Linked DNA regions of Saccharomyces cerevisiae S288C. Changing the gene in region 2 together with the main gene of any one other region gives a genetic interaction. Each region holds a gene or a part of one and is shown on either strand. Other genes may lie near its edges.

What was found. A genetic interaction does not mean that the proteins touch.
Region 1: mutations in SLM1 (region 2) and KTI12 together harm fitness more than expected from each alone (negative genetic interaction), as found in Saccharomyces cerevisiae (2 studies listed by BioGRID).
Region 3: mutations in SLM1 (region 2) and OSH3 together harm fitness less than expected from each alone (positive genetic interaction), as found in Saccharomyces cerevisiae (2 studies listed by BioGRID).

What each region holds. Positions count from the first base shown.
Region 1 is NC_001143.9:227,631-232,762, reverse strand, and holds KTI12 (Kti12p), read left to right. Parts: upstream 1-2,882; coding exon 2,883-3,824; downstream 3,825-5,132. Other genes in the region: transcription factor HAP4, read right to left, coding at 1-536; DNA-binding protein ABF1, read right to left, coding at 3,998-5,132. UniProt on the Saccharomyces cerevisiae protein: Elongator complex-associated factor that is not a structural subunit but rather transiently contacts the complex.
Region 2 is NC_001141.2:164,968-171,367, reverse strand, and holds SLM1 (phosphatidylinositol 4,5-bisphosphate-binding protein), read left to right. Parts: upstream 1-1,726; coding exon 1,727-3,787; downstream 3,788-6,400. Other genes in the region: Hsp90 cochaperone SHQ1, read left to right, coding at 1-1,386; YIL105W-A (uncharacterized protein), read right to left, coding at 3,564-3,704; MOB1 (Mob1p), read right to left, coding at 3,924-4,848, 4,934-4,953; PFK26 (6-phosphofructo-2-kinase), read left to right, coding at 5,607-6,400. UniProt on the Saccharomyces cerevisiae protein: Together with SLM2, acts as an effector of the TORC2- and calcineurin-signaling pathways. Phosphorylated and activated by TORC2 under favorable growth conditions. Mediates actin polarization via inhibition of calcineurin-dependent transcription.
Region 3 is NC_001140.6:239,407-246,880, forward strand, and holds OSH3 (oxysterol-binding protein related protein OSH3), read left to right. Parts: upstream 1-3,175; coding exon 3,176-6,166; downstream 6,167-7,474. Other genes in the region: lanosterol synthase ERG7, read left to right, coding at 1-1,887; snoRNP complex protein NOP10, read left to right, coding at 2,258-2,434; QNS1 (glutamine-dependent NAD(+) synthetase), read left to right, coding at 6,787-7,474. UniProt on the Saccharomyces cerevisiae protein: Lipid transport protein (LTP) involved in non-vesicular transfer of lipids between membranes.

The DNA.
Region 1 (5,132 bases), on a different chromosome or scaffold from region 2:
TAACTTGAAAAAGATGGAGATGAATAAGATGGAGATGAAATGGAGGAGGCAGAAGAATGAAACTTTTCATTTTCCAAGTCATCGAACTTCAAAAATGCGAGGTAATTCGAGTCGTTTATTAGCTTTTCATCGATTGTCTGGATATGTCTTGGTATTTTCCTCTTTTCTTTGGAAGCTTGTTTCCTATTCGAAATGATGTTATTATTATTATTATTATTACTACTGTTCCTGCTGTTAGGGCCAACATTTAAAATATTATTGGTGTTGTTGGCAGGTAGAGTGTTGTGAGAAGATGATCTTCTACCAGGTCTTGGTCTTGGGGGCAAAACCCAATGTTTTGAAGTTCTAACCACCAAGCTAGACTTCTTCTTCTTTTTACTGCCATCGTTTTCGAATTCCAGCGAACTATTGTTATGATGGTTGGTATTTGGGGCGATCGGTACAGGCGCCAATGGAATATTATTATGCTCATTTTTAAAATGGTTACTACGAGGGCGACTAGCGGAGGCCTGTAGTAGAAAAGTCTTTGCGGTCATGATTCTTTTTTTGTTTTTTTTTTGTACTAGAAAATGTAGGTAAAACAAATCAGCAACCCATTAAAATGCTCTTTGATGTACTAGGAGACCAATAAATATGTGTGGAAAAAAAATAAAACTGTGTTTTTTCTCTTCCTATGCGTTTGATAATGATCTGCTCAAATAAATAATGACCCTTTTTTATTTTTCTGGTTCCTTTATAGTAGTATTTTTATATTATTAAGTGTAAAGTGGACCTGTAGATAGCATATACGATATAAAACTGGGGTTTAGAGAGGTGAAGGAATTAATAAAGGTAAAAAAATTAAAAGGAAAAAGGAGATGGACCTAAACAACCACACGGGGTTAAGCAAGAAGAAATTGATATAGGAGATTAGTTAATAGCTTTACAATATATATAATTTATCTAAAAACGATCTCATACTCAATAAATTTTTTTAGAGTAGTCTCGGAAAGAAAATAGCAATCCATTTACTTTTAGAACAATCTGCAAAATCGATACATGACACTTGGAAGCAACTGTGAAAAGGCTACGGCCATTGCTTACCGCGTGCAAGATCCGTAACATAAGAAAACTTTAGTCCTTGATGAAAGAAAATTTTCGTTTTTTTTTTCAGGTTCAGCGGGCTTAACCTCGTTTGCCGCCTCGGCCCCGCTCCGTTGTGCTGGCCATCTGTGCGCGGCGGGCTTCCCCCCCGTCGCTACTTCCGGATTAAACTTTTAGACTTCGGACCCCTGCCCCGGGGGGTTTCTCTGAACGCCGGGGTAGTGGTCCAAAGCCCACGAAACGCGTGTTCCTCTCAGCGGCATTGGAGTGAATAAAGCCCGCAGGACAGCCTTTTTTTTCCGGGCTGCACGACCGAATCAACTTGTCGCTCTATTCCTCCGTTGTTCCCGATTTGTAGCTCGGGGCCGACTCGCTTTTTGGCCAAGAAAATTGAGGAAAGCCCGTATTGCGGAGAAGGTTCTTATGTATTTGCCGTGCGATCAACCTCCGGGGCCCGGGTTTCAAATTCCGGCAATCATCCATGCCTAGTTTTGGAAATTCTCAGCAGAGGTTATCCCGTAAGGTGAAAAAAAGACATAAACGGTTTTTGCCTACAGTTTCCGGCAAAATAGTGATCTCATAGTACATCACTACTGCGAAGTCACCGGCCCGTACAGAAAAAGTATATCTTTAAATAGCGGCCCTACCTCTGCTTCTACCTACTTCATATTCGAATTCTTTTCTCGCCTTCCGCAGTGTTTCGCAAATCTGGACCTACGCACTAAATCATTTATGATTGTTCTCTCTTTCACGTGATAAGGTTTGCATTCTATTCGTTACCCTATTAATTATTACTATTTTTTTCAGCATGAGTTTTATTTCGCACATAAAATGCATCTATTTCTGGATATTACTGTAGTTTTCTTTGCTTTTCGCCTACCGCGCGGCGAAAAGTCGTATCAATCAATATGTGCCACTGCTATCATCCCTTGATAGAGTACAACGTAAAAGAGGCATTGTAGCATATTCACCCCGCTTGATAACTAGATTTTTTAGGCAAGAGTTGCGCACAGCGTACTGTGCACTACGGTATACAGAATTACACAATTGATACTTATTCTCTCCTTCATTGTTGCTCTGTTTCCGTTGTTTAAACTTTATCCAAAAACTCTGTTTTCTGTTTATTGAACCCCTTGCTTTCGCAAGCAAGCCCGACATATACGAACAGAACTGGGGAGAGGGAGTCTTATGCTGTACAACTCATGTAACCCCCACTATCTCAGGAGTTATATTAAATCAAGGCACGCCAGTGCTGCCTCTCTTGGTACGACAAACAAGTTTTTCCCGATTCTAGGTATTGCATTACATAATATCAACCCTTTGTTGTTTTCTTTTGATTTTTGAAAAGAAATATCTCATACCAACCGGAAAGGAAAAAGGACACAATTTGGGAAAATAGGCAATTTATTATGTACACAAGTCATAACCAAGAAAAAAGTAAGGGTAAAACAAGCAATTACTGAACTTGTTTCATGAGACTCATATCCAGAAGCATATTTATATAAGGAAATATTAGTTGCAAATCATTATGTCATTCCTTTCGCACACCCGATATGCTAAAAACAGCATACATGCACACTGCGCTTGGCTTGGACATATTCTCTCTGCATATGATGGAAAAAAAATCTTTTTTTTTCTTTTTCTTTGACTTTTTGCCGTTTTGTCATCGTCATCGCGATGGAAAAAGAAATGAAGAATACTTGATGAACAGGTGAAACTTGAACAATAACGTATCAGAATGAGGGTAAAGGGACCTTGTAAAACTTTTGAAAAAACTAAACAGGCAATTTAGTAAGAAGATGCCACTGGTGCTTTTTACGGGATACCCATGTAGTGGTAAGACAACGCTTGCTAAACATTTGGTACAACTACTACAGTCCAAGATCGATGCAACCCCATCATTAAGTAAATATTCCATAACCTATCATTCAGATGAATCTTTAGGCATAAAACATTCAGATTATATAACTTCCCAAGATGAAAGAAAATTGAGGTCGGAGATCATCTCCGCAGTGAAAAGAGATCTATCTAAAAACAAGATAGTCATTGTAGACTCGTTGAATTATATCAAGGGTTTCCGGTATCAACTTCACTGCGAGGTGAAAAATTTGTCCACCACATTTTGTGTAATTCAAACACTGTGTCCACCAGAGACTATATTCGAGTGGAATAAGACTTCAAACCCGAACCCTTGGGAACCCGAGTTATTGAATCAATTGATTCAACGATACGAAGAGCCTAACTCAAGCAACCGATGGGACTCTCCACTCTTTGCTATTCTTACTCCTCAGGACAACATAACTGACTACATCGACGATATTTGTAAAGTAGTCTTTCAAACTTCCAAATCGGCTAAAAACAGTGGACACAATGATCCGTTGAGTAAGGGCTTACAAAAACCGAACTCAGCCACGGTACTAAAGCCTGCGTCTCAGTCCAATTTCATCCAGGTTCTCGACATCGAAACTAGTAAGATAATAAAAACCATAATGAACCACATCAAAAGCCTGACTTCTATTGGCGGGGTAAGTAACGGAACAAGAGTCATTGTTTCCGAAGGGATTACCGATATCAATGATGATGGTTGCTTCTTCGTAGACTTGCCCATTGGTAACGTCGTTACGTTGGCGCAATTGCAGAGATTGAAAAGGCAATTCATTAACTTCAACAAACTAAGAGATATAGATCAAGATAGGATCGGTCCGCTTTTCGCTGATTATCTTAACAAAAACTTGAATTGAGATATACATGTGATTAATATCAGAAGGTAAATGGCAAGACGAAATTTGCTTGTTTATAATACAAAAAAACATACATAAGATATAATATATATTTCAATAGAAAAGAAAAAGTATAGAAAAGTGAATAAACAAAAGAAACATGAGAAAAATAGCTCGTCTTCTCAACTGGGTATCTATTGACCTCTTAATTCTGGTTGAATGTTTTCATCAGAAAGGTCTTCTTCATCATCGGCTTTCCCTATTAGTCCAGCAACATCTTCTTCATCGTGATGAGGTTGGCTATGATGGTTATTATGATGAGTTGTGTTCTTATTATACTGCGATTCTACATCCACGTCCACCATTACATCGTCTACGTCATCATCATTATTCTGGTGTAGATTCTCTACCTCTTTCAAATGCGATGACAGTAACCTTAACTGTTCCGCCACTTCATGTGGTAGTTTGTCGTCTTCATTTCTCTCTTCCAGTGTGATATCTGACAAATGCTGTCTTTTGGACTTGTGAGCATCTTCTGAATCCATATCGTTGATCAAGTTTTCATCTACCACGTTTCTCGACGAATTGTTATGGCCATCACCATTCTTGTCATCAATGGACCTCTTATAAGAATTGATCTTGTCTATGGCTAACTGAGCAGTTTCACGAGCTTCTTGAGCGTCTACTTCAGCCAAGGTTGGGTGGACATTTTCATTACCGCCATCGTTTGATTCATCTAGGCCAACCATGGACACGTCTGAATGAGTTATTTGATCTGGCTTGCTCCATTTATTGACGCTTGGCATCTTCTTGGGTTGATACCGGTGACTAGAGGTTTTATCTAGCACACTTTCCATTAAATTTGAGGCGTCATTATTATTGTTGCCGTTATTATCGTCATTACTGTCATTCTTGTTATTATTCACATTTTTGGTTGTGTTCGATGAGGTACCCGCACTTGATATTTCCTGATGTTTGGCGTAGTCGATAGAGTTACTTCTCAAGTTCGTGCCAGAAAGCTCACCATCGTTGTTATTGTTGTTATTGGAAGATGAAGAAGGTTGTAAATCATTATACTCGCCCATTTTTTTCTTTTTCAAAACAAATCTTGCTTTATACGTCGTTATACGTCTGGCTATTTGGGAAAGTAACCTTTTTTCGAAATCTTCGGCGGTTAATCCATATCTTTGCATTAAAATGTCTAAAAGACCGGACTCCTCCACGTAATGAGAAACTTTAAATTTACTCACTGTATGGTTAGAATTATTGTAAGAGCTTTCTAGTATTTGATCAAACTTTAAATCGTTTTGTAAAATCTTTGGAATCTTA
Region 2 (6,400 bases):
TACTATTTAAGATTAAGATTTCCTCACGAATTAATCGATGATGAGAGGTCTACCGCTCAATACGATTCCAAAGATGAATGCATCAATGTAAAAGTAGCCAAACTGAATAAAAATGAATATTTCGAAGATTTGGACCTACCGACAAAGTTGTTGGCTAGGCAAGGCGATCTTGCAGGTGCCGATGCATTAACAGAAAATACTGATGCGAAAAAAACCCAAAAGCCCCTTATTCAAGAGGTCGAAACTGATGGCGTGTCGAATAATATTAAAGATGATGTGAAGACTATTGGTCAAATGGGAGAGGGGTTTAATTGGGAGATAGAGCAAAAGATGGATTCCAGCACCAATAATGGAATATTGAAGACAAAATATGGGTTTGATAACTTATATGATACAGTTATATCAGTGTCGACAAGCAACGGGAACGATATCAATGAATTAGACGATCCTGAACACACTGACGCGAACGATAGAGTTATTGAAAGGTTAAGAAAAGAAAATTTGAAGTTTGATCCTGAGTACTATGTTTCCGAGTATATGACACATAAATACGGTAACGAGGAAGACTTGGAAATTAACGGCATTAAAGAACTACTGAAGTTTACACCTTCGATCGTAAAGCAATACCTGCAATGGTACAAAGACAGTACGAACCCAAATCTGGTCATGCCAATTGAGTTTACTGACGAGGAACAAAAACAGATGCAGGACAATTTACCCAAGAAGTCTTATCTCGTGGAAGATATAAAACCACTTTATGTCACTATACTCAGCGTTCTTTTCAGTTATGTGTTTGAACAGATCGAAAACGAAGGTACTCATACCACAGAGAGTGCTTGGACCATGGGAAAATTGTGCCCTCAAATATCATTCTTAGACCAACAATTAAAACAGGTGAACGAACTGCAAGACGGTATGAAAGAAATATCAAAGGTTAATAAAGACAGCTCTCTCATCAAGATTGCAATCATTACAGGTATCAGGAGAGCCCTGAGTTATCCACTACATAGAAACTATGACCTAGCAATGAAAGCGTGGACATTCGTATATTATATTCTACGAGGTGGTAAGAGACTAGTCATAAGGGCGCTTTTGGACATTCATGAAACATTTCGTTTCCATGATGTTTACTACGTCTACGACAAAGTTCTCTTGGATGATCTGACTGCGTGGTTCATTTCTCAGGGTAGTGAGAACGTCATAAGAAGTCTGGCCTTGGAAATGAGAAAAGAGCAAGAGTCACTTTCCAAGCAGGATATTGAATTTGAATGTATTGCATCGTTCAACGAACAAACTGGCGAACCTGAGTGGGAGACACTAAATATAAGAGAGATGGAAATTTTGGCAGAGTCTGAATACCGAGAGCAGCAGCAGAACCCACAATGAAGATCATTTGAATGTTTAGCGTAGATTACTGCATTAGATAGAGTATATATTGATTAACGTTCCTGCAGGGGCCTAAAATTGGGTTACCCTTCTCTTCCCGCGGCTTTTCCCCTCATGGCATTACGTATTCCATCGAAGAAGGGAGAAGGCTTTCAAGCCTTGAAGAGTGACAGCGATCCAAGCTGGGGGGGGGAAAAACAACGAGGACATCTGTTGAGCCCTTGAATTGGTACAACCTATTAGAGTGTTCTTATATCTGCATTTGGTCATCTTCTTTTGAAGCTTTTTAAAGAAAAAAAGTAGTTAACAATAAAAGAATACAACATTAAAAGAAAAAAAAATGTCGAAAAACAACACAATGACCTCTGCGGTCTCTGATATGCTGTCACAGCAACAGCTAAATCTTCAGCACCTGCATAACTTGCAGCAGCATACGAGAAGTATGACTTCAGCAGATCATGCCAACGTTTTACAACAACAGCAACAACAACAACAACAACAACAGCAGCAGCAGCAGCAACAGCAGCAGAGCGCAAGCTTTCAAAATGGCAGTTTGACATCCGATATAAACCAACAAAGCTATTTGAATGGACAACCAGTTCCTTCCACTAGTAATTCAACGTTTCAAAACAATAGGACGCTGACGATGAATTCTGGAGGGTTGCAAGGTATCATAAGCAATGGTTCTCCTAATATCGACTCGAACACCAATGTAACCATTGCTGTCCCAGATCCCAATAATAACAACGGGAAACAGCTCCAAGGGAAAAACTCTTTAACCAACACTTCAATACTGTCGAGGGCTAGGTCTTCCTTACAACGTCAAAGACTTGCTCAGCAACAGCAACAACAACAAGATCCTAGATCTCCATTAGTAATACTGGTCCCTACAGCTGCGCAACCAACAGATATTCTTGCAGCGAGGTTTTCAGCTTGGAGAAATGTCATCAAGTCGGTGATCGTTTACTTAACAGAAATCGCTTCTATTCAGGATGAAATTGTTAGACAGCAACTAAGATTATCACATGCTGTACAATTCCCATTCTTTTCGATCGAGAATCAATACCAACCAAGCTCGCAGGAGGATAAATCAGTACAAAAGTTTTTTTTGCCATTGGGTAATGGCTCGATACAGGACTTACCAACAATTTTGAACCAGTATCATGAATCCCTAGCATCCAGCGCGTCTAAGGCATCAAGGGAATTGACCAATGATGTTATTCCTCGTTTGGAAGACTTGAGGAGAGATCTAATAGTCAAGATAAAGGAAATAAAATCACTGCAGTCGGATTTCAAAAATTCTTGTTCCAAAGAGTTACAACAAACAAAACAGGCCATGAAGCAATTTCAGGAGTCTTTAAAGGATGCGCGCTATTCAGTGCCAAAACAAGATCCATTCTTAACCAAGCTGGCGCTTGATAGACAAATTAAAAAGCAACTTCAGGAGGAAAACTTTCTGCATGAAGCTTTTGATAATTTAGAGACTTCAGGCGCTGAATTAGAAAAAATTGTAGTTATGGAAATTCAAAACTCTTTAACAATATATGCCAGATTACTGGGACAAGAAGCACAATTGGTTTTCGATATATTGATATCCAAATTAGATTCTGGATTTTTCAACGTTGACCCACAATTTGAATGGGATAACTTCATTTCAAGGGATCCCAACTTTTTATTGCCTAATCTACCGATGAGGACATTCAAAGAAATCGTTTACAAATACCAATTCGATCCTTTGACTTATGAAATCAAATCAGGGTTTTTAGAAAGAAGATCAAAATTTCTAAAATCCTATTCAAAAGGGTATTATGTGCTGACACCGAACTTTTTACATGAATTCAAGACCGCGGACAGAAAAAAAGATTTAGTACCAGTGATGTCGTTAGCATTAAGTGAATGTACTGTGACGGAACATTCCCGGAAAAACAGTACATCATCACCAAATTCGACTGGTTCGGATGCTAAGTTTGTGTTGCATGCTAAGCAAAACGGCATAATTCGTCGTGGTCACAATTGGGTTTTTAAAGCCGATTCTTATGAATCAATGATGTCTTGGTTTGATAATTTGAAGATCTTAACATCTACTTCGAATATACAAGACAAGTATAAATTCATAACACAAAAATTAAACTTGAATTCAGATGGGAAACCCAAGCTAACCAATAACCATACCAGCATTAATAAGTATCAGCTGAGTAATGCCAATAGCACAATGGTAGAAAATGATGAAAACGATGATATAAATAGTAATTATGTGGGGTCCACGGTAACACCAAAATTGGACAATCAAACAAATACGAATACATCCATGTCTTCATTACCTGATACTAATGATTCTGAATTACAAGATCAAGTTCCCAATATTTATATTCAAACTCCAATAAACGATTTCAAATCATAAATACAAGTATAGTAAACTAGAATGTTTTTATTTCCTTCCATCCATATGTTATATTAATATGTTTCCGTATTTTTGTTTTTGTGTCCCATGCATGGAAGAATACAACCTACAAGCAGACTTATATAAATATACAATACTACCTATCCCTCAACTCCATCACTAATTCTAACAGCGGACCAAAATCAGCCGGTCTTAGTAGTTCGAACTCTTGTGCAAAAAGACAAAAATGTCTAAAACTTGTGTTTAGTACGGTTTGTAAATTTAGTTCAAGAATTTCATTAAAATGATGACAGTAAATATGCGCATAAACTCTGAATAATCGCCTTAGAATTGGTTGAATTACTCGTTGGATGAATCCCTCCGGGAAGGTACCGGTGACTTTGGAAGGAAAAAGAGATTCGTCATCAAATTGGTCTTGACACCACCTCATCAAACATTCCACATACTTAGGGGCACTTACCGAAACGGGGGGCTGACCCTTTTGAAATGCCCAAAGATATTCATATTCGTTCGTCGCTATCATCCTCGGGCATGTTTGTGGGGAGCAAAATTCTGTGATGGACCCGTATAACATATTAATCTGATTGTAAAAATCCACGCAATGAACCGCTAGCCATTCATTCTCATCCTCACCACGCGGTAACTTCACAGCTTGGTTAAGGACTCCCTCAGACCCCAGTGTCATCTCCACAATTTGCTTGATGTCTTGATGTGTTGTAACTGTCGTACCTGCTTGCGGTTGTAGAAACGGCTTCTGATGCGATGGTGTATAGTTAAAGTCCGTTACATTTTGTAATTGTTCAGGCGGAGGGGCGTGCCTCTTTGGCGTAGTGAGGACGGGAGACATCCTTCCATGGTCGCTTTCATTATATCCGTTTACTGGATTGTTTGTAAAATCTGCTCTATTGTTAATAGTATTGGCATTATTATTATTGCCGTTAATAGTATTGTTATGGGGAGTTGCCTTAGTAGGCGATACAGAGCCTGCATTATTAGCTGCATTGGCAGTATTCCACTTGAAACCTCTAGTAGATCTTATTGTTTGGCCGGGACTTATATGACTGCTTTCAAAAGGTAACTCATACCCAGTTTGTTAATAAAAGATGAACAATAATACTTGAAGTAGAAAAGAAAATAGCAACATACAAATTTTGTAGAAAAGACATGGAAATTGAAGTCCTTATTGAATTAGGAAAATTTTGTTGAAGATACTAACAAAAAAACCGGTTTTCTCTCGAATAAACTAAAAAAATATCTATACAGCTCAAACGGGCTGAGCTAAGGCTCTTTTAGATCAGTAATGTTACCAAAGCTATAATTGTAATTCTTCTAACGTTTTGATATTTCCATTTTGGGAAGTAGTATTACCCTTCTTTTGATCGAACGTATTTGTCATATTATACGAGTGGGATACCCGACCGATAATAATAATCACGTTTATATCACGTGATCATCTCTGAATACCAAAATCACAACATACGGAAATTAGGGGACATAAGATTTTTTGAGGAGAGATTTCTTTTCCTATTTATTTTTAATCGCGCCATTACTGACAATAGCAAATTAATTTATAGTGGAGTACATGGACTATTTATTATAGATTTTGTTGGCATATTCTTTTTTTAACAATAAAAGGTATACATATATATATATAGACAAACTCAAGTATTCAGTTACGGGTAAATCAAGTGAAATAAATTTCGCCTTTTAGTATCTATTTGTGTACTTTTGTGCCATAAGCTAAAAGAGTAAAAATAATAACAAGAGGCGTAGAAGAAGGGTTTATTCAAGGGAACAAAGGCAAGAGGAATAAAAGCTCATGTTCAAACCAGTAGACTTCTCTGAAACATCTCCTGTGCCGCCTGATATTGATCTTGCTCCTACACAATCTCCACACCATGTGGCACCTAGTCAAGACTCCAGTTATGATCTTTTATCCCGGAGTTCCGATGATAAAATTGATGCTGAAAAGGGTCCGCATGATGAATTATCTAAGCACTTACCACTTTTTCAGAAAAGACCTTTGAGCGATACTCCTATATCGAGCAATTGGAACTCTCCTGGAATCACTGAAGAAAATACACCTTCTGACTCTCCTGAAAATAGCGCTACTAATTTGAAATCGCTACATCGATTGCATATTAACGACGAAACGCAACTAAAAAATGCTAAAATTCCCACAAACGATACTACTGACTACATGCCTCCTTCAGATGGAGCAAATGAGGTAACTCGGATTGATTTGAAAGACATTAAATCACCTACGAGACACCATAAAAGAAGACCTACCACCATCGATGTTCCTGGTTTAACAAAGTCTAAAACATCTCCAGATGGTCTCATATCAAAGGAAGATAGTGGATCAAAGTTAGTGATTGTCATGGTCGGACTGCCAGCTACGGGAAAGTCATTTATTACAAATAAATTATCCAGATTTTTAAATTATTCTTTATACTATTGTAAAGTGTTTAATGTCGGTAACACTAGAAGGAAGTTTGCTAAGGAGCATGGCCTAAAGGACCAGGATTCAAAGTTTTTCGAGCCGAAAAACGCCGACTCTACTAGGTTGAGAGACAAATGGGCCATGGATACTCTGGATGAATTGCTAGATTA
Region 3 (7,474 bases), on a different chromosome or scaffold from region 2:
TTCATGACAATCGGTTACGTAGCCGTAAACTATATCGCCGGTATTGAAATTCCTGAGCATGAGAGAATAGAATTAATTAGATACATCGTCAATACAGCACATCCGGTTGATGGTGGCTGGGGTCTACATTCTGTTGACAAATCCACCGTGTTTGGTACAGTATTGAACTATGTAATCTTACGTTTATTGGGTCTACCCAAGGACCACCCGGTTTGCGCCAAGGCAAGAAGCACATTGTTAAGGTTAGGCGGTGCTATTGGATCCCCTCACTGGGGAAAAATTTGGCTAAGTGCACTAAACTTGTATAAATGGGAAGGTGTGAACCCTGCCCCTCCTGAAACTTGGTTACTTCCATATTCACTGCCCATGCATCCGGGGAGATGGTGGGTTCATACTAGAGGTGTTTACATTCCGGTCAGTTACCTGTCATTGGTCAAATTTTCTTGCCCAATGACTCCTCTTCTTGAAGAACTGAGGAATGAAATTTACACTAAACCGTTTGACAAGATTAACTTCTCCAAGAACAGGAATACCGTATGTGGAGTAGACCTATATTACCCCCATTCTACTACTTTGAATATTGCGAACAGCCTTGTAGTATTTTACGAAAAATACCTAAGAAACCGGTTCATTTACTCTCTATCCAAGAAGAAGGTTTATGATCTAATCAAAACGGAGTTACAGAATACTGATTCCTTGTGTATAGCACCTGTTAACCAGGCGTTTTGCGCACTTGTCACTCTTATTGAAGAAGGGGTAGACTCGGAAGCGTTCCAGCGTCTCCAATATAGGTTCAAGGATGCATTGTTCCATGGTCCACAGGGTATGACCATTATGGGAACAAATGGTGTGCAAACCTGGGATTGTGCGTTTGCCATTCAATACTTTTTCGTCGCAGGCCTCGCAGAAAGACCTGAATTCTATAACACAATTGTCTCTGCCTATAAATTCTTGTGTCATGCTCAATTTGACACCGAGTGCGTTCCAGGTAGTTATAGGGATAAGAGAAAGGGGGCTTGGGGCTTCTCAACAAAAACACAGGGCTATACAGTGGCAGATTGCACTGCAGAAGCAATTAAAGCCATCATCATGGTGAAAAACTCTCCCGTCTTTAGTGAAGTACACCATATGATTAGCAGTGAACGTTTATTTGAAGGCATTGATGTGTTATTGAACCTACAAAACATCGGATCTTTTGAATATGGTTCCTTTGCAACCTATGAAAAAATCAAGGCCCCACTAGCAATGGAAACCTTGAATCCTGCTGAAGTTTTTGGTAACATAATGGTAGAATACCCATACGTGGAATGTACTGATTCATCCGTTCTGGGGTTGACATATTTTCACAAGTACTTCGACTATAGGAAAGAGGAAATACGTACACGCATCAGAATCGCCATCGAATTCATAAAAAAATCTCAATTACCAGATGGAAGTTGGTATGGAAGCTGGGGTATTTGTTTTACATATGCCGGTATGTTTGCATTGGAGGCATTACACACCGTGGGGGAGACCTATGAGAATTCCTCAACGGTAAGAAAAGGTTGCGACTTCTTGGTCAGTAAACAGATGAAGGATGGCGGTTGGGGGGAATCAATGAAGTCCAGTGAATTACATAGTTATGTGGATAGTGAAAAATCGCTAGTCGTTCAAACCGCATGGGCGCTAATTGCACTTCTTTTCGCTGAATATCCTAATAAAGAAGTCATCGACCGCGGTATTGACCTTTTAAAAAATAGACAAGAAGAATCCGGGGAATGGAAATTTGAAAGTGTAGAAGGTGTTTTCAACCACTCTTGTGCAATTGAATACCCAAGTTATCGATTCTTATTCCCTATTAAGGCATTAGGTATGTACAGCAGGGCATATGAAACACATACGCTTTAAGTTTTATTTATAAGTGTTGTTAGAGGCTGCAACAATTAGAAACTAGTGCAAAACTAGTATATTTATTTGTATATGTAGTAGTAAAATAATAGGTGAAAAATTAACATGTGTTTGAAATTCCAGCTAACTATTGGTTATGGTGATTACACGCTAAGTGTAGAGTTCTTTCAAATATACCATTTATCCTTTAGCACGGCTTCACTATTTTTTTCGTCTTTTTTCAACTAAGCGGAAGGAGAAAAAAATTTCAAGTTATGCTCATCACTCTTTTATTACATTATGGTAGCTATAAAGTGGCTTATGTTAGTGAGTTGACGGAAAAGAGAAATACTTTCAATAGACCAATACATAACAAATCCTTTTGAACAAGATGCATTTGATGTACACTTTGGGCCCAGACGGCAAGAGAATCTATACATTGAAAAAGGTCACCGAAAGTGGTGAAATCACGAAGTCTGCTCACCCAGCTAGATTTTCTCCAGACGACAAATATTCAAGACAAAGAGTAACTTTGAAGAAGAGATTTGGTTTGGTACCAGGCCAATAGATTTGGGTAGTTTAAGGGAATATTGTATAGTACGTGATTCTGGCTAGTATGAAAATGCAGTGAATTTTCTTGTTTCATTTTCAATTTTCTAGACCTACATAAATTTGATAAGTTTTTAGGTGATAAATACTAATTATAATTGATCGATTATATGTTTTAATCTCGAAGGAGCAGTGGCCGTTTTCTTATCCAGAACCAGTTCTTTTAAGACTCGCCAGTTTCTTTTTAGCTGTAATAAGGAAAAATAGATTGATATTAGTTACAGTTGTGCTTCACGTTGTTAAAACGTACAAGAAAAGTCTTTAACTGTAGCAACCAAAAAAGGTACTTGATGTCGATATTAAGCCGCATCTCTAGATCTAAAGGCTCCACTCTACTGCTCCACTTTACTGCTCCAAAGAGTCGGCTTACAGATAGGCTACCGCTACATTAATAACTGTGCTGGAAAACCTTGTTTCCGGGAGCACAAAATTGTAATGACATATTTATTTTGGTTGTATCAAGCGTTTCCAACTGTTGATTCAACCAAAAAGCCTCATAGCTTTTAATACGGATATTGCTTAGGGTAGGGCGAAAAAAATAACCAAATCTTTGGAAAAAGCAGTTTGACACCATACAACCAGCAACGACATGGTTTTTTAGTGAACCTGTTGGGGGGAGAGTATAACTCGTGAAAGTTTCGACGTCCTATTTGCTGGAGAGTAGTAAAACGAGCTTGAATAGCAGCCTGCGAATCGAATTATGGAAACAATTGATATACAAAATCGATCATTTGTTGTTCGTTGGGTAAAATGTGGCCGTGGCGATGTAATCAATTATCAGATCAAGCCATTGAAGAAATCTATTGAAGTCGGCATATACAAAAAGTTGAAATCCAGTGTAGATGACCATGCTTCCGCAGTTCACATTGCACCTGACACTAAAACATTGCTAGACTATACTACGAAATCTCTATTACATAAGGGAAGTTCGAGTAATATTGAGGAGCATCACAGGCGTTCCTCACAGCACTCTCATAGTTCGAGCAATGGATCGGATAATAAGAGGAAAGAGAGATCATATTCTTCACTGTCCATTAGCGGCATACAGCAGCAATCCCAGGAAATACCCCTACGTGAAAAACTCTCTGCGTCAGGATTCACTTTGGTCAAGAGGGTCGGCAACGTTTCCGGTAACACTATGGTCCAAGGTGATCTTGAAGTGAAAGATACAGACTACTATTATGCATTTATACTGGACAACTCGTCTTCCAAGAATGCAAAAAAGAAAATTCTTTTTAACGCAAGTGTGATAAACGGCGATAATCAATCGATGATAAGCACAAGATCCACCCCTCCCGCAAGGCCTACAGCTTTAAGCAGAACATCTACTCAACAGGATATGTTATTTAGAGTAGGACAAGGTCGTTACTTGCAAGGCTACCTGCTGAAAAAAAGGAGAAAGAGACTACAAGGTTTTAAGAAAAGGTTTTTCACCTTGGACTTTCGATATGGAACCCTATCGTACTATTTAAACGACCATAATCAAACTTGTAGGGGTGAAATTGTCATAAGCTTGTCATCTGTTAGTGCCAATAAGAAGGACAAAATAATCATAATTGATTCTGGTATGGAAGTTTGGGTCTTGAAGGCTACAACTAAGGAAAATTGGCAGTCGTGGGTCGATGCGTTACAAACTTGTTTTGACGATCAGTTCGAAGATAAGGACACGTCCACTTTGGAAGAAAATCCCGACATTCTTGACGATGACAAGGAAGTAATTAATAAAAGCTCACCTCAAGACCACGACCACCTCACGCCCACGGCTACGACCAAAAGTGCACTATCACATAGACAGCATACTCAGAAAGACATGGATGACATATATGTCCCATTGCCCAGCGAATCTTACGCTACTTTCTCCATGAATCTACGTTTGATTCAACAACGACTGGAGCAGTGTAAAAAAGACTCGTTATCTTATAAACCAACTACTTTACATCAAAGATCGGAGGGGCTAAATGGAACACATTCGTCATCTTCCGTCTTTACCAATAATAGAGTGTCTTCATTCAATCATTCTTCTTCTGGTATGACGTCATCTGATTCTTTAGCCTCTGAAGAGGTTCCTTCCAACAAAACATATATTGAGCATGCTTTATATAACCAATTGGCAGATCTTGAAGTATTTGTTAGCCGGTTCGTTACACAGGGAGAGGTTTTATTCAAGGACCACCAGATCCTGTGCAAGAAAGCAAAAGACACGAGAGTTTCTTTAACTTCATATCTTAGCGAGAATGATGAATTTTTTGATGCAGAAGAGGAAATCAGTCGGGGAGTCATTATATTACCTGACACAGAAGATGATATTAATAATATAGTCGAGGAAACTCCCCTTCTTGGTAAAAGTGACCAAAATGAGTTCACAAAAGAGGTCCAATTGTCGGGATCCGAACAGATAGCTTCATCAAGTGTGGAGAGCTATACAACTAACGATGAAAATCATAGCCGTAAACACCTCAAAAATCGTCACAAAAATCGTCGCCGTGGCCACCCTCATCATCAAAAAACCAAAAGCGCCCAATCCTCAACAGAAACATTTACAAGTAAGGATTTGTTTGCTCTTTCCTATCCAAAGAGTGTTACACGCCGTAATGACATACCTGAAGCTGCAGCTTCTCCGCCAAGCCTATTATCTTTTTTGAGAAAGAATGTAGGCAAAGATCTGAGCTCTATTGCCATGCCAGTAACCTCAAATGAGCCTATTTCTATTTTGCAGTTGATATCAGAAACATTTGAGTATGCTCCACTTTTAACGAAGGCTACCCAACGTCCTGATCCTATAACCTTTGTTTCTGCATTTGCTATTTCCTTTCTTTCCATATATAGGGATAAAACAAGAACGCTAAGAAAGCCTTTTAATCCTTTACTGGCTGAAACATTTGAACTTATACGAGAAGATATGGGGTTTAGGCTTATATCGGAAAAGGTCTCACATCGTCCTCCAGTATTTGCCTTCTTTGCAGAGCATCTCGACTGGGAGTGTAGTTACACTGTAACGCCATCGCAAAAGTTTTGGGGTAAGTCTATTGAATTGAATAACGAAGGTATACTGAGATTGAAGTTTAAGACAACTGGAGAACTATTTGAATGGACGCAACCAACAACTATTTTAAAAAATTTGATAGCGGGTGAGAGATATATGGAGCCTGTCAACGAATTCGAAGTACATTCTTCGAAGGGAGACAAATCACACATCCTGTTCGATAAGGCAGGTATGTTTAGTGGAAGATCTGAAGGATTTAAGGTTTCGATAATCCCACCACCTTCGAGCAATCGCAAGAAGGAAACTCTAGCTGGTAAATGGACACAGAGTTTAGCTAATGAAACTACACATGAAACTATATGGGAAGTAGGTGATTTAGTTAGCAATCCGAAGAAGAAATATGGCTTTACTAAATTCACCGCAAATTTGAATGAGATAACTGAAATTGAAAAGGGCAATTTACCACCTACGGACTCAAGATTAAGACCAGATATTAGAGCTTACGAGGAGGGAAATGTTGATAAGGCGGAAGAGTGGAAGCTGAAATTGGAACAACTTCAACGTGAAAGACGTAATAAAGGGCAAGATGTGGAGCCTAAATATTTCGAAAAAGTATCTAAGAATGAATGGAAATACATAACTGGACCGAAGAGTTATTGGGAAAGAAGAAAGAAGCATGATTGGTCTGATATTTCTCAACTCTGGTGAATGCCTTGATGACATCAAGTGAACTTTTTTCCCCCCTTTGTACTCTATTTATTTTCCATCTTTAATGATCATCCACACAAATTACTTGTATATGCGTTCATGTATAGTATACTATATACAACATGAAGGACTTTATAAATTCTTGATCAATCTTTCACACTAATTTTATATTAACAGTTCTACACTATTTTTGTTTGCTTGACTGTAAAAACATTCTATTTTATGATTAGTTGCAAAACTTGAAAAAAACAATAGAATTTCATCACATAATTGAAAGATAATGAACTCTTTCAGTCAGTTAGATCCATGTTTTTTGAAGAAAAGTTTACGAACACAGGATCTTACAAAAGGTGCCTAAATTTGGAATTGAAAGTCTATTGCTATCAAAACTTGTCAAAGATAACATAGCTTGGAACATCTTATCCTTTATATGTCCTGCTAAGTCATATCAAGAGGCCCCAATAGTTTCGTCGAAAAAGATAAAGAGGAATATGGAAGGGAAATATAAGATTATCAACTGGTTACCTCAAAATAGACTATATGCTCACATCATCAATTGATATTGCTTGTAAAAATACCCCCAAATACCCTGGCATTCTTTTTTTGACTCCCTGCCAGTAATGTCACATCTTATCACTTTAGCTACATGCAACTTGAATCAATGGGCCCTAGATTTTGAAGGTAATAGAGACCGTATCCTACAGTCCATTAAGATTGCCAAAGAGAGGGGTGCCAGGTTACGTGTCGGCCCAGAACTGGAAATAACTGGCTACGGATGTTTAGATCATTTTTTAGAAAATGACGTTTGCCTTCATTCATGGGAAATGTATGCTCAAATCATTAAGAATAAAGAAACCCATGGATTAATACTTGACATTGGTATGCCCGTTCTACACAAGAATGTTCGTTATAATTGTCGTTTGTTATCCTTGGATGGTGAGATATTGTTCATAAGACCTAAGATTTGGTTAGCTAATGATGGTAACTATAGGGAAATGAGATTTTTCACACCTTGGATGAAACCTGGCGTGGTGGAGGACTTTATCCTTCCACCTGAGATTCAGAAAGTTACCGGCCAGAGACTTGTGCCATTTGGGGACGCTGTGATAAATTCATTGGATACATGCATTGGTACAGAAACTTGTGAAGAATTGTTTACACCTCAATCCCCCCACATCGCCATGTCTTTAGATGGTGTGGAAATCATGACAAACTCATCTGGTTCTCATCATGAACTGCGTAAGTTAAATAAAAGGTTAGACCTAATTTTAAATGCCACTAAACGTTGTGGTGGTGTTTACTTGTATG